Tamandua tetradactyla: one gene and its partners. The protein of the gene in region 3 purifies or fractionates together with the protein of the main gene of each other region. This does not show direct contact. Links are inferred from orthologs where the notes say so. Each region holds a gene or a part of one and is shown on either strand. Other genes may lie near its edges.

Region 1 (3,747 bases), on a different chromosome or scaffold from region 3:
AATCTCTCACAAGTACTCTTCCTGGCTTATTCCCTATTTAAATTTTACTTAGAATGAGGCAAGCTGAAAACTTTCTATGCCCTCAAAATTTTTTTTCCCTTGTGACTTCTCCTGTTTCTTCCATGCTTAAAATGTACTTCTCCAACCAGATCTCACATAAGAATTTATCTACACAGTCTTTTATATACTTTTCACATTTAACTATTTAACCCAAGTGGAATATATTATGCTATAAGCTATGGCGTGAGGTCCTAACTTGATTCTTCCCAGTATCAATCACTAAATAATCCCTCTTATCCCTGCCAATTTGGCATACATCATCTAGTAAAATCCCATGTTTCTTATGGTCTATTACTGAAATCCATCCTGCTGTATGAATGTAGTAGTTAAGATTTTTTTTAACTAATACCATACTGTTTTGAAGTTATACGGAATATTTTAAAATCTTGAACTGAAAGCTCTTATCACTCTTTAAAAATACCACTACCACTCCAGCCTACTTATTATTTCAGAACTTTAGAAACATTTTGTTGAGTTCTCCCAAAGGGGCTGTCAGTTTTTATTGTAACTGAATCATAAGTGAGAGTTGTCAAGAAGATGCTATTTCTCATATATATCTCTTATAAATCCATATATGTATATGCATTTGTATATATCCAATACTTATTTTCCATTATGACACAAAACCTGGGACATACTGATTCACAAGGTTGTCAAATTACATCTCAGTTGAAAGGAAAAGTTTAAAGGTCCCTTCTAATAGAGCAGACAAATACTCTAAGAAGAGAATCAAGTTAATCAATGGGATGCAAGAAGGTCATTCCGGGAGTGGCAACCAGGCAAATGCTAGTGTCCCTGTCCAGTAAGAGATTTTAAAATGTAGCCTTATCTTGGTCTGTTTTACACATCGTAACTTCAACCCACCTAAACTTCAACCACTTCTTCGTTGAAGCCTGAGAAGCCAATGGTATAGAAACAGAATTAGAGGATAAAGCAAATCAAAGATATAGCAGATTAAGACTCATGGGTTAGATTTTGGGTGAAGTTTTGTAATCATCATACTGTATTATTGTTTTTTATTAGGCCATCTGAAACATTCAAGAGAACTGGACATTAATGAGTGTTGTGAGATTTACAATTTTAATTTGAGATGCTTAAGAAAATATAATTAAGTGTGAAAGTGTTTGCACTTTTTTTTTTGAGTGGGCAGGCACCGGGAATCAGGTCTCCTCCAGCATGCCAGGCAAAAATTCTGCCACTATACCACCATTGCCTGCCCTGTACTTTCTTTCAAAAAGAACCAGATTTCCATTTATAAGTTTATTAGACTTAATGACAATTGCTTAAGTCCTCAGAAACATTTATGTTAGGTTTCTAAGTTTACTTTTTTAGACGTCTGAAGTATCTACAAGAATCAAGCATCTAAAATTTTAATTACAGAGTAATATGCTAAAGAAAATTGAACTTTGTAAAAAGAGTTATTTAGGGAAATTTGATATGTTAAACTGGTTTCTTACTTGAACTTTTGTCAAAGATCAAGTATTTTTATTTAAAAAGTCCTGTTATTTATAAATAATACAAAATGAGTAAAATTCTATCTGCAAAATCATCCCTCTTAAAAAACCTCAACTGAAATTAAACAAGAATGGCACTTTCATCTATTTCCTCACGCCTCCTTTTGTATCTCAGATTATTCCCAGGAGCTTTTCGTTGTTGTCATTGTAAACAGAACCCATTAACCAGAAAACTGAACTTTGTCGATTTTGCAGTTAGTTTTTCTTAACTCTAATTTTACTGGTTTTCCTCGACTATTCATTTCTTCAAAATATGCAATTCTATCATCCCGGGAAATGAGTAGTTTGTCTTCCCCTTCCTGAAAAATTATATTTCTTATTTTTTGTTTCATGCCTTATTGCATTGGCTAAAACTTCCAGGCTAACATAAGACAAATATTCTTAGCCATGATTATAACCTTAATGGCAATGCTTCTAGAGCCTGCATGACAGTAATTTAAAAGGCATCTATCTCTTTTATCAAGTTATTAAATATCCTTCAATTCTTCAAATTATAAGACTTTGTAAATTACGAATGCGTTTAATTTTATCAGACTGTTTCCTGGAATCCTAAATACGCTTTAAATAACCAGTTTACCTTTAAAACAAAACAATAAATGACACTTCCTGAAACTGGCTCACGGTACTTCAGAGAAACTGATCTAAGAAACCCGGCGTTGAGGCCAACTCAGCAAGCTAAAATAAAAACCCACTTACCAAGTCTGGATATGACAAAACACATACGCGAAATGCGCGCGTGGACCTCGCACCTTTTCCAGGAAATCGCTAACTCCGGAAAACTCCGGTTCTAAATCAAGCGCTAAAATCACTCCTCGGAGTCTGAAACCGGGACTGGGAGCTTTTCGAAAATTCTATTTGTTTCTACCAGGTACCCTGGAGTTTGGGCAGGCGCTGTGCCGAACTGCCACTGAGAGTCTCCCTTTAACGGTTTAACTTTCATGCGTCGACACCACGCTTGGCATCTGACTCCCTGTGGGCACAACCGCCTGATCCCAACTTCTTCCAAAGTGTCAAACTACAACGAGGCTTACGTGAGCGTCCGGTCCGTACACGGACACGCACCTTCGTCCCCCGCGCCGGCGCAGGCTACGGCCCCGCGGGCCGCACGCGTCCCCCCGCGGCTGTCCTCATGCCGGCCAGGGGCCCCAAGCGGCGGCGCGGCTAGCGGCCGGCTTCCGAGGCATGGCTCCCGGCGGGCGGCCGGCCGGCGCTGCGGCCCATGACCGGGTCCACGCGCGCCCGGGACAGCCGCGTCGGCCGTGCCGCGAGCCGGCCAAGAAGAAAGCGCAGAAGTGCCGCCTCGAGGTCCGCGGAGCAACTCGGGGGGCGGCGGAGCAGGCTGCCAGCGGGCGCCCCGGGAGAACTTGCTGCGCCGGACCCGCACCCGAACCGCTGGCCGCGCGAAAGTCGGCCGCGAGAGCGCGCCAAGGCACCCGGACGGCGGCGGGACGGACCCCCTCGCCCGCAAACAAGCGCGGCGTTCGGAGCCCCCGGGAGCTCGGGGCGCGGAGACGAGGGGGGACCCGGGCTGAGGCCAAGCAGAGCCCACCGGTCGCGGGACCCTTGGCTCCGGTTTCCAGGCCGCGCCGAGGTCCGTCAGGGGAGCTCCCGGGTGCAGCGACGAGGCCGGCCGGCGCCTCAGGCTCGGGAATGGCCCCGGGGCCCGCGCGGAACTAACGGCCGAAACGGAAGCGCCGAAGGGGGGAGGGGGCTGGAGTCCAGGGCCCCGGGAGGCGGGGCGGGCCTCAAGGCCGGCTCCCTCACGCGCTCGGCCAGCCGCACGTCGTCGCTTCCGCCGCTGCCTCAGACCGCGGGCGCTTCGTTGTCACGAGCCGAGGAGGTGGGGCGGGGGGGAAGGCGGGGAAGGAGCCGGGAGTCTAGGGTCTTCGGCTAGCGGAGACCGCGGCGCCCGAATCACGTGCCGCTCGACCGGCTAATGAGAGATAGAGGGCGCAGTGACGTCAGAGCAGCGGCGTGGCCGATGACAGCCGGCCCTCATCACGTGGTCCTCCTCACTCCAATGGGCGGTGTCGAGGCGACCTGATGTTCCCGGCGGCCTGTGCGGCGGTGGTGGTTGGGTGGTAAGATGGCGGCTGTGAGTCTGCGGCTCGGCGACTTGGTATGGTGAGTCCGGGCGGCCGGGGGCAAGCGAGGTGCTGGGGTGCTGCTCTCT
Region 2 (3,747 bases), on a different chromosome or scaffold from region 3:
AATACATTCTAAATCAAGTGCCCTATAATGTGCTCTATTATCTACACCCTCAAAACACAGAGATAAGTCAGGCATTTTTCAGAGGCAAGGATTTCTGCTCTGACAGGCAAAAAAAAAAAAAAAAAAAAAAAAAGCGCCTTAGGAAGACTTAGGGGCTTCAAATCAAAGACGATTGGTCTAAGAGACTTATTCCCCCTCCCTGTAAAGTCTCTAAATCCCATGCATTCTCCATTTTAAGAAGTCCATCACCCATACTCAATCCTTGACACTGGGGACCCAACCAGTGGGAACAGAGCTGGGAGTTGAGCTAGCAACTCACCACGGTTACCATCCCCTTCACAAATGCCACCCTAGCCACAGGAGCTATGGATCTTAAGAAAAGATAAAACCTTCCAAACAAAGTGACCCATTTTCACCCATCCGGCCCTCCAAGTACAACAGGCCTTGGTTGGGCATATCATATCTTCAAGTCAACATAAACCCGTCTAAGTGACCTATTCACTAAGGATGTTAAAGTCCAACCCCAAAACCAATAGAAAGGCACCAGAGGTGAAGGAGTTGTCTCTCAAACCCACAGCTCTCCCTTTAATTATCCAACCCGGTTTTCTTTCTTTCTTTCTTTTTTTTTTTTTTGCATATAACCTTGTGTTCATCCCTCTTTACAGCTCCCTATCCTAAGCGGGTGTCTCACTACCCCCCACCCCCACCCTAAATCTATCACCCCCACTATAATCATCGCTGTCATCTGCTTGCTCGCGTGGACTCGCAAGGGCCACGGAACGGGTGAACGCGTCCCCGGGGCTCCCGGACGTGCCCCTCAATTCCCTCGGCCCCCGGAGCCCCTGCCCCAGGTGGTGAGGACGATACACCCCATCATTCACCGACTGCCCCGGGCTGGACACTGAGCTCGGCGCCCCAGGAGCCTTTCGGAACCCGGACCCCGAACTCTACAACTGTAGCGACAAGGCAGCCCGGGGGCGGACACGCGCGCGTTCCCGTCTTCCACGGCCGGGCGGGCGCACGCCGCGTACGACCCCGTTGACTGGCTGGCGCGCCCGGCGCTGAGCCAATGGGAGCGAGCCTTGTTGACAGGCGTGCGGCCGGCGGCGCGGGGGTCCGGGCGATCGGGCCGTTGCCGTGGAGACGCCGGGTGAGTCCCGGGACTGCGGCTGTGGGGGTGGCCCCGGGTTGGGAACGTGGCGCCGCGGGGCCAGGAGGCCGGAGCACGAGCCGGAGGGGTGGACTGCATGGGCTCGAGACCCGTGGGGACGCTGTGTGTGTGTGGGGCGGGTGGGGTCCCTGTGGCAGCCCCGGTGCCGCAGTCGGGGAAGCCAGTTTGGGTCCAGGCCTCCTGGCTGCCGCGGGGGCCTCTTTCTGGCTCTCCACCGCCGCCCTGGGTGCCTAGACCGGCCTCCGGCCTCGGGAGTGGGTCCCAGGGACGACGGCAGGACCCACCATTGAGGCGGCGTCCCGCGGTTGCAAAAGGCTAACCTTTTACTCCGCATCCTTTCGCTTCACTTTGCGGCAGCCCCCCGAGGTGAGTGCTGTTTGTTCATGTCGTTTCCAGGGTTGGAAACAGAGACCGAGGGAGGTGAAGTGACTTTCCAAGGTCACCTAGCCAACCCATGGGCCAGCCTGACTCCAGACTGAAAATCTTGACCGTTTTGCTGCACTGGTTTCCGGGGATGGAGTGGGGGATACCCTGGCTAGCATATTCCTGACGCCCCACTGATGTTGGCACATTGAGTTTGGGGAACCACTTAACTCTTCATGATATTACATCTGAAACTGGAAGGTCGAATTCCATGCAGCTAAGGTTCCTTCTGTTGGGACCCAGAACTGGGTTAGGACTGGAATGGCCTTAGAATTGCACTGGTCGGGGGTCTGCAAAGTTTGCTGTAAAGGACGAGCTAATAAATATTTTAGGCTTTGCAGGCCATAATCTGTTTACTCAATTCTAGCATTCGAAGTAGCCAAAGATAACCCACCCAAAGGAGTGGCTGTGCCCCAGTGCAATTTTATTTATGGGCATGAAAGTGTCAGATCATTTGCATCTGTCATTCACGTGTCTGCCATTTAGAAATGTAAAAGCCATTCTGTGCTGGTGGCTGCACAGGAACAGCTGGTGGGTTAGTTTGCAGACCTCTGGTCTGGTCCAAAGCCTCAAAAGGTAAAAGAAACACATCCAGAGAGGGGCATCTTATGCCAGGTCAGCTAGTCAGCCAGGCAGTGCCCCATGTGGGTTGGAGACCACTCAGCGTTAGGTGCTCCAACTGAAATGTTCTTTATCATGTCTTCTATAAGGCCATTGGGAACCTGCTAGGTTAAACCTGTGAATGTGCTACTCTGCGAAAATGCAGCTGCTGAACTGGAAGTCCAAGAAACGAACAGATAATTCCTTTCTCCTCTCCATTTGGTAGCTGCTGCTTATTAATTAATTAAGTTTTAAAGAGTTCAACTTTTTATTGAACACATGACACAAAGGGTTTAGTCCCAAAGACCAAAGCCCATGTCATCATCAGACTACAACGATTCTTCTTTCTCTGCTTCCATTTTCTTCTCCTCGGCTGGGCTTGCTGGGGAGAGTGGGCAAGAATCCCCGCTGGGGCAGCTTCACTAGCTCCTACGTAGCACACGAGGCTCCCCATACTGATCCTGGTCAGGGCCTTTACAAACAAGCTGGGCCAGAAGGGTTTGCCATTTGCACCCAATATTTATCTTTCGTCCCCTCTGTGATGGTGACCTTGTCGTGGCAGAGGATGGAAGGCTGAGTAGATGCCGGTGGGCCTGGAGGTGGAGCCCGTGGTGCCAGTCCCTGTAGGTGAGGGCCTCACCCCGATGCAGCCTCTGTTTCCTTGGAGAAACTGAGCACGTTAGTGGCTGTTGAGGAAAGGGACTTGCTTTTGGTTTGTAAGCTCCTCTTAGTGGATTTCTGGGGTCCCTGGTGTACATGGTCCGGGCCTCACATTTCTTACAGATGCTCAGTCAATAGTCTCAAATGATTATTTATTTGAAAACTTTTGATTTTCAACTAACTTTTGACTTAAAGAGAAGTTGCAACAATAATACAAGAGTTCCTTTATGTGCTTCACCCTGCTTGCCATAATGCTAACATCTTACATCATCTGGGTACAGTTGTCAAGAACAGGAAACCAACACTGATACACTGTTATTAAAAATGATAGCCCTAATTCAAATTTCAACAGTTTCCCCATTCGTGTTCCTTTTTTTTATTCCTGGATCTTAACCAGTAACCCATGTTGTATTTTGTTATTTCTGTTTCATCTCCTGTCCTCTGAAATGGGTGCTCAGTCTCTTCTTCTCTTTCTTGGCCTTGATGCTTTTAAAGAATACTGATAGTTGTTTTTGTCTAACGTTACCTTGGCTTAGGTTTGTCTGATATTTTCTCTTGAGTAGAATGAGGGTGTGCATTTTTGGACAGAATAACACAAAATGCAATGTTCTGTTCTCGGTGTTTCATCTCAAGGGGTTCATGATGGCAACATGTCTCACTGCTGGAGTTACTTGTTGAAGTTGGTGTCTGCAGGATTTCTGCCTTAGTGGAAATACTTTGGTAGGAAGTAAATTCTGGTTTTCCACAAACTTAAGCCCACTAACTTTAACATTTGGATCTCATGTACACATAAATGTTGTGTATTTATTGCTGTGAAGTTTGCTTCATGGTGATTCTCTATTTCCCTCGTTCCTTCTGCTTTTATTCATTGAAATTTGATGGTAAGAAGAGCT
Region 3 (3,747 bases):
GGGAAGAACAAAAAAACAAGCTAGCCCTGATCTCACTTACCCAAACCCAACTCTTAACTTTGGTATATTTCCTTCTGCCCTGCCCCATAACCACTGGGATCCTATATATGTCCATTTGCCAATGAGACCAAAACAGAGCTGGACCCAATGTATACAACAGGCGCTCGATGTTGTCTGACTGAAGTCAATAATTGTCAGCAAAACCTGCATAAAGACTGGATTGGTGTTGAGTAGGAGAGAAAACATACCATGAGGTGAGCCCACTGAGGCTCCCTCAACGCTGTCCAGAGAAACTGAGGAATTAACTGAGGGCCAAAGTTAGAGAATCTGATAGAATCTACCAACGACATGATGACTGAAGCAGGGCCTACAAACTAGAATTTGTTGAAAAGGGTTTCAAGCAGAGATGTACTTTAACGATTTCAATTCTGAATATAGAATAGAATGAAATGTGGGACAAAGTCACACACACCTCCACATCTACAGTTTACAGGGCACAATTACGCCCCCCCACCCCAACACTGGGTACCTAACCTTATGGGCAACTTCAAGGGTAATCTGAGTGCATGTATCACGGTGTCTTTATACCCTAACGTTACGGTCTAAGCCACACCTAAGATGGACCTCTGTTATCCCTGAAAACAAAACTAAAACCAATAATATGGCTAAAGATGCATAAAAAATCATTATAGCTCAACTAGCTGGAGTGTCTGTTCCCCAGTTGTTTTTGTTTTAATCTAGCACCTCTAGCAGGCCTTTTCCTATTTACCTTTTGTCTTTGTTCATAGCTACAGAGATGAGCCTTGGCCTTGCCACAGCTCTGGGTCAGAACATCTGGTTTCTATGACTTATTCAACCAGTGTCCGCTGAATTTCTCAAGAGGGTGCAGGGAACACATCTAATGTATTAAATGGGGACCCACACCTTGGAAGCGTCCACTTCCAAATGCTGAGAAAGACAGCAGAAGGAGTCTGGAGCCCTTAGGAAATGGGACAGCTAACCAACTAGGAGTTGTACAGCTCATCGGATTTTCAGTTTGCTGGTACTGAGAGGTAACAAGACTGACAGATTTCTCCAGGATTTCAGAGAGGGCTTCTGTTTGGGAGGCAGGAAACGGATTCTGTGCTTTGTGGGAAGAAGGCTAGGAAGAGGCAGAAAGCAGGTTTGCAGGTCTAAGTCACCGACGGCCCTAGGGTGGAACGAGGGTCTGGGTTTCCAGGCCAGAACAGGATTTCCAATCTGAGCTTCTCTGAACAAAAGCTCTATCATCTGGCTGTAATTATACCAGTGCCCCCGTCTCTGTTTTGAGAATCATGATTTGGCAATAAATTCCCCGGCTGCTCATGTTTATGTGTCACCTCTAATCTTACCACTGGGATAAGAGCAAAGAGGAAGAGCCCTGCACTCAGAACTCAGAGACGCACCATGGTCCCAACACTCCCACAAACTGCCTTTGCTGTCACTTCAGAGGAGTCATTCCATGTCCCTCTACTAAGAAATTTAAAATCAGCTTGCTGACTTTGGCCTTTCCTGCCCTGATTCCATATGCAGATTAGAAAAAAAACAATAGGTAGGAGCTTCCTAGGAATTAGAGTATTGGATAAGGACCTCAGAATCATTTTTAATTCCAGGAGCACAATCGGCTGAATGAAACCTGATATCCTGCCATCTGGGAAGGCGAATCCCTTAAACTGGCGAATCCCTTAAACCGCTAGCTCCTTATAGCTCCTCCTGGCTTTAAAATGAAATCTTCCTCAGTGTCATTCTACACTTTATTTATTTATTTACACCCTGCCTTGCTCCAAAAGGGATTTAACTTAGCCGATTCTCTAGTCACACATAGACTCCTTAATTTGAAAAGAAGAAAATCCAGGGAGACTCACCTACTGGCTCATCCCAGGGCAAATGCATCTCAAACAGCATCAGCTACAAGCAAATCCCAGCAGCAAGCTTTATAGGCAAAGTGCCCACCAGCCACCCAGTGGTGCTCCTTAGTAGACCCCGCCTCCCGGGTTTACAGATTTTTCACCCCCTCAACTGCTGCTGCTTTTTGTTTAATCACCCGGAGAAGTTCTCTAAGGGGAGAATTTCCTCCTGAAAGCACCACTTGCCTGAGAGCTAGTTAAAAGGCTTCTTGGGTGACCTTAGCCATTCGGTTTTAGAATTTTACAGCCCTTTTCTTGAAAGGTCTTTGTAGACCTTTCAAGGTCTACAACTGCCCCTCTAGTGGAGGCCTTATCACCACCGTCTTTTTTCTGTGGGAGTCCTCCGAGCCACCCATTTTCTACGTAGAGACCCTCTCAGCCTCTGTTCTTTAACCTGCTCAGACCCTGTGGCAGTAGAAGCCAGAGCTGGCCTTGGGAGGTCTCCAGGGGGAGGTCGGGCTTGGCCGTCGGGGGTCCCCACGGGGCGGGTGAGGTAGGGGCTGGCGGTGGGGGATTTCCACGGGAACGTCGGGGTTGGCTTTGGGGGCTTCCCTCCAGGGAGACTGGGGTTGGCCGGGAGGGGGTTGGTAGGGGGAATGGGTTCTTCACCGGGACGTCGGTGGTCTACCAAGGAGTGATCCTTGGGGGCCTCTTGACGGGAAGTGCGGGTCAGCCCGGCCGGGGGGGGGGGAGGCCCTACACAGGCCCAGCCTCACCGTCCGCCAGGGCCTCACTGCACTCGAAACTGATCTCGAACCGGAATGGGGTGTGGAAAGGACTCGGGTTCTCCAACACCGCCACATTCAGCACCGACACCTTGGCCATCGTCGGGCCGGGGCCGGGCCGCGTCCGTGTCCGCCGGGGTCAAGAGCGCAGCCCTCCCACGGACACCTCCTCAACCTCCTTAAGCCGACTGAAGTGCGCGCTTCATCCGCGCGCCGCCTTCAAATAGCCGGCCCCGCCCTCCGGCCAATCACCGCTAACGCTCCCCGGCGGCGCGAGCCCGCCCTCGGCCAATCCTGGAACTCCAGTCGGCGCGCGCTGCGATTCCCTAGACCAATCAGCGGAACTCCCTCCCCGGCGTGCGCGTCGCGGGGCGGGACCACCTTTTGGCTCCTGAGGATGTTAACCCAACCCCCCCAGTGGGGAACCAATCCCCAGCGTCTCCGATGCGGACGTTAAGGGCGGAGATGGGCGGAGTCAGCGCGCGGGGCTCCCGCTGACCAATCCCAAGGGTTCCAGCACAGGCGTGGTGGGCGTTCTCGTCGCCCCGTCCTTCCGGGGCACGCAGCCCGTGGAGGGCATCGCCACCAACTGCCAAGCGGGGGCGCGCGACACTCGCTGAAGAGAGCGGAAAGGGCGGTGCTCGCTTCCGTGGTGACTGACAGACGGGAGAGGGTGAGAAAAAAAACAAAAACGAAAGCTTGCTTTCTAAGAGATGATTGGTTGGCTTGACTGCGGTAGGCGGGAGGAGAAAGCTCGTCTCGTGATTGGCGAGATAGGACCGGAAGTCGGTTGCGTCGGTCGTGAGGGGAGACGAGGAGGCGCGCGGCCACCTCGGCTTCGTCTGCGGGTGAGCGTTGCCGGGAGCCTCTGTGAGGAGCTCCAGGCTCCTCAGGCCCAGCGGCCGAGGGTTCCGTGGTGAATATGGTGAACGCTGACAGGCCCCCGGGGGAGGCGGAGCGGCGCCCGGCTTGAATCCCGTTGTCGCCCCTTCGGGGCCCGCCGCCCGGGGAGCGGCTTCTAATAGACGGTGCTCAGAGCGCCCCGTCGTCGGTGCGAGTCAGACCGGTCGGGGTTTGAGCCCGTGCAAATAATGCAC

Evidence for each region.
Region 1: the proteins of ASF1B (region 3) and UBN1 purify together in Homo sapiens (affinity purification with mass spectrometry; 3 studies listed by BioGRID and IntAct, counting the BioPlex papers as one, with this or other methods). This does not show direct contact. The link is inferred for Tamandua tetradactyla from reciprocal best matches to the Homo sapiens genes ASF1B and UBN1.
Region 2: the proteins of ASF1B (region 3) and CABIN1 purify together in Homo sapiens (affinity purification with mass spectrometry; 3 studies listed by BioGRID and IntAct, counting the BioPlex papers as one, with this or other methods). This does not show direct contact. The link is inferred for Tamandua tetradactyla from reciprocal best matches to the Homo sapiens genes ASF1B and CABIN1.

The regions. Positions count from the first base shown.
Region 1 is NC_135349.1:52,237,569-52,241,315, forward strand, and holds the start of UBN1 (ubinuclein-1), read right to left. Parts: upstream 2,730-3,747; 5' UTR 2,637-2,729; exon of another isoform or gene 2,606-2,636; intron 2,575-2,605; exon of another isoform or gene 2,271-2,574; intron 1-2,270. Other genes in the region: GLYR1 (cytokine-like nuclear factor N-PAC), read left to right, coding at 3,661-3,698. UniProt on the Homo sapiens protein: Acts as a novel regulator of senescence. Involved in the formation of senescence-associated heterochromatin foci (SAHF), which represses expression of proliferation-promoting genes. Binds to proliferation-promoting genes.
Region 2 is NC_135331.1:25,631,623-25,635,369, reverse strand, and holds the start of CABIN1 (calcineurin-binding protein cabin-1), read left to right. Parts: upstream 1-1,079; 5' UTR 1,080-1,150; intron 1,151-1,159; exon of another isoform or gene 1,160-1,537; intron 1,538-3,747. UniProt on the Homo sapiens protein: May be required for replication-independent chromatin assembly. May serve as a negative regulator of T-cell receptor (TCR) signaling via inhibition of calcineurin. Inhibition of activated calcineurin is dependent on both PKC and calcium signals.
Region 3 is NC_135337.1:88,728,610-88,732,356, reverse strand, and holds the start of ASF1B (histone chaperone ASF1B), read right to left. Parts: upstream 2,878-3,747; 5' UTR 2,751-2,877; coding exon 2,642-2,750; intron 2,622-2,641; exon of another isoform or gene 1,884-2,621; intron 1-1,883. UniProt on the Homo sapiens protein: Histone chaperone that facilitates histone deposition and histone exchange and removal during nucleosome assembly and disassembly. Cooperates with chromatin assembly factor 1 (CAF-1) to promote replication-dependent chromatin assembly.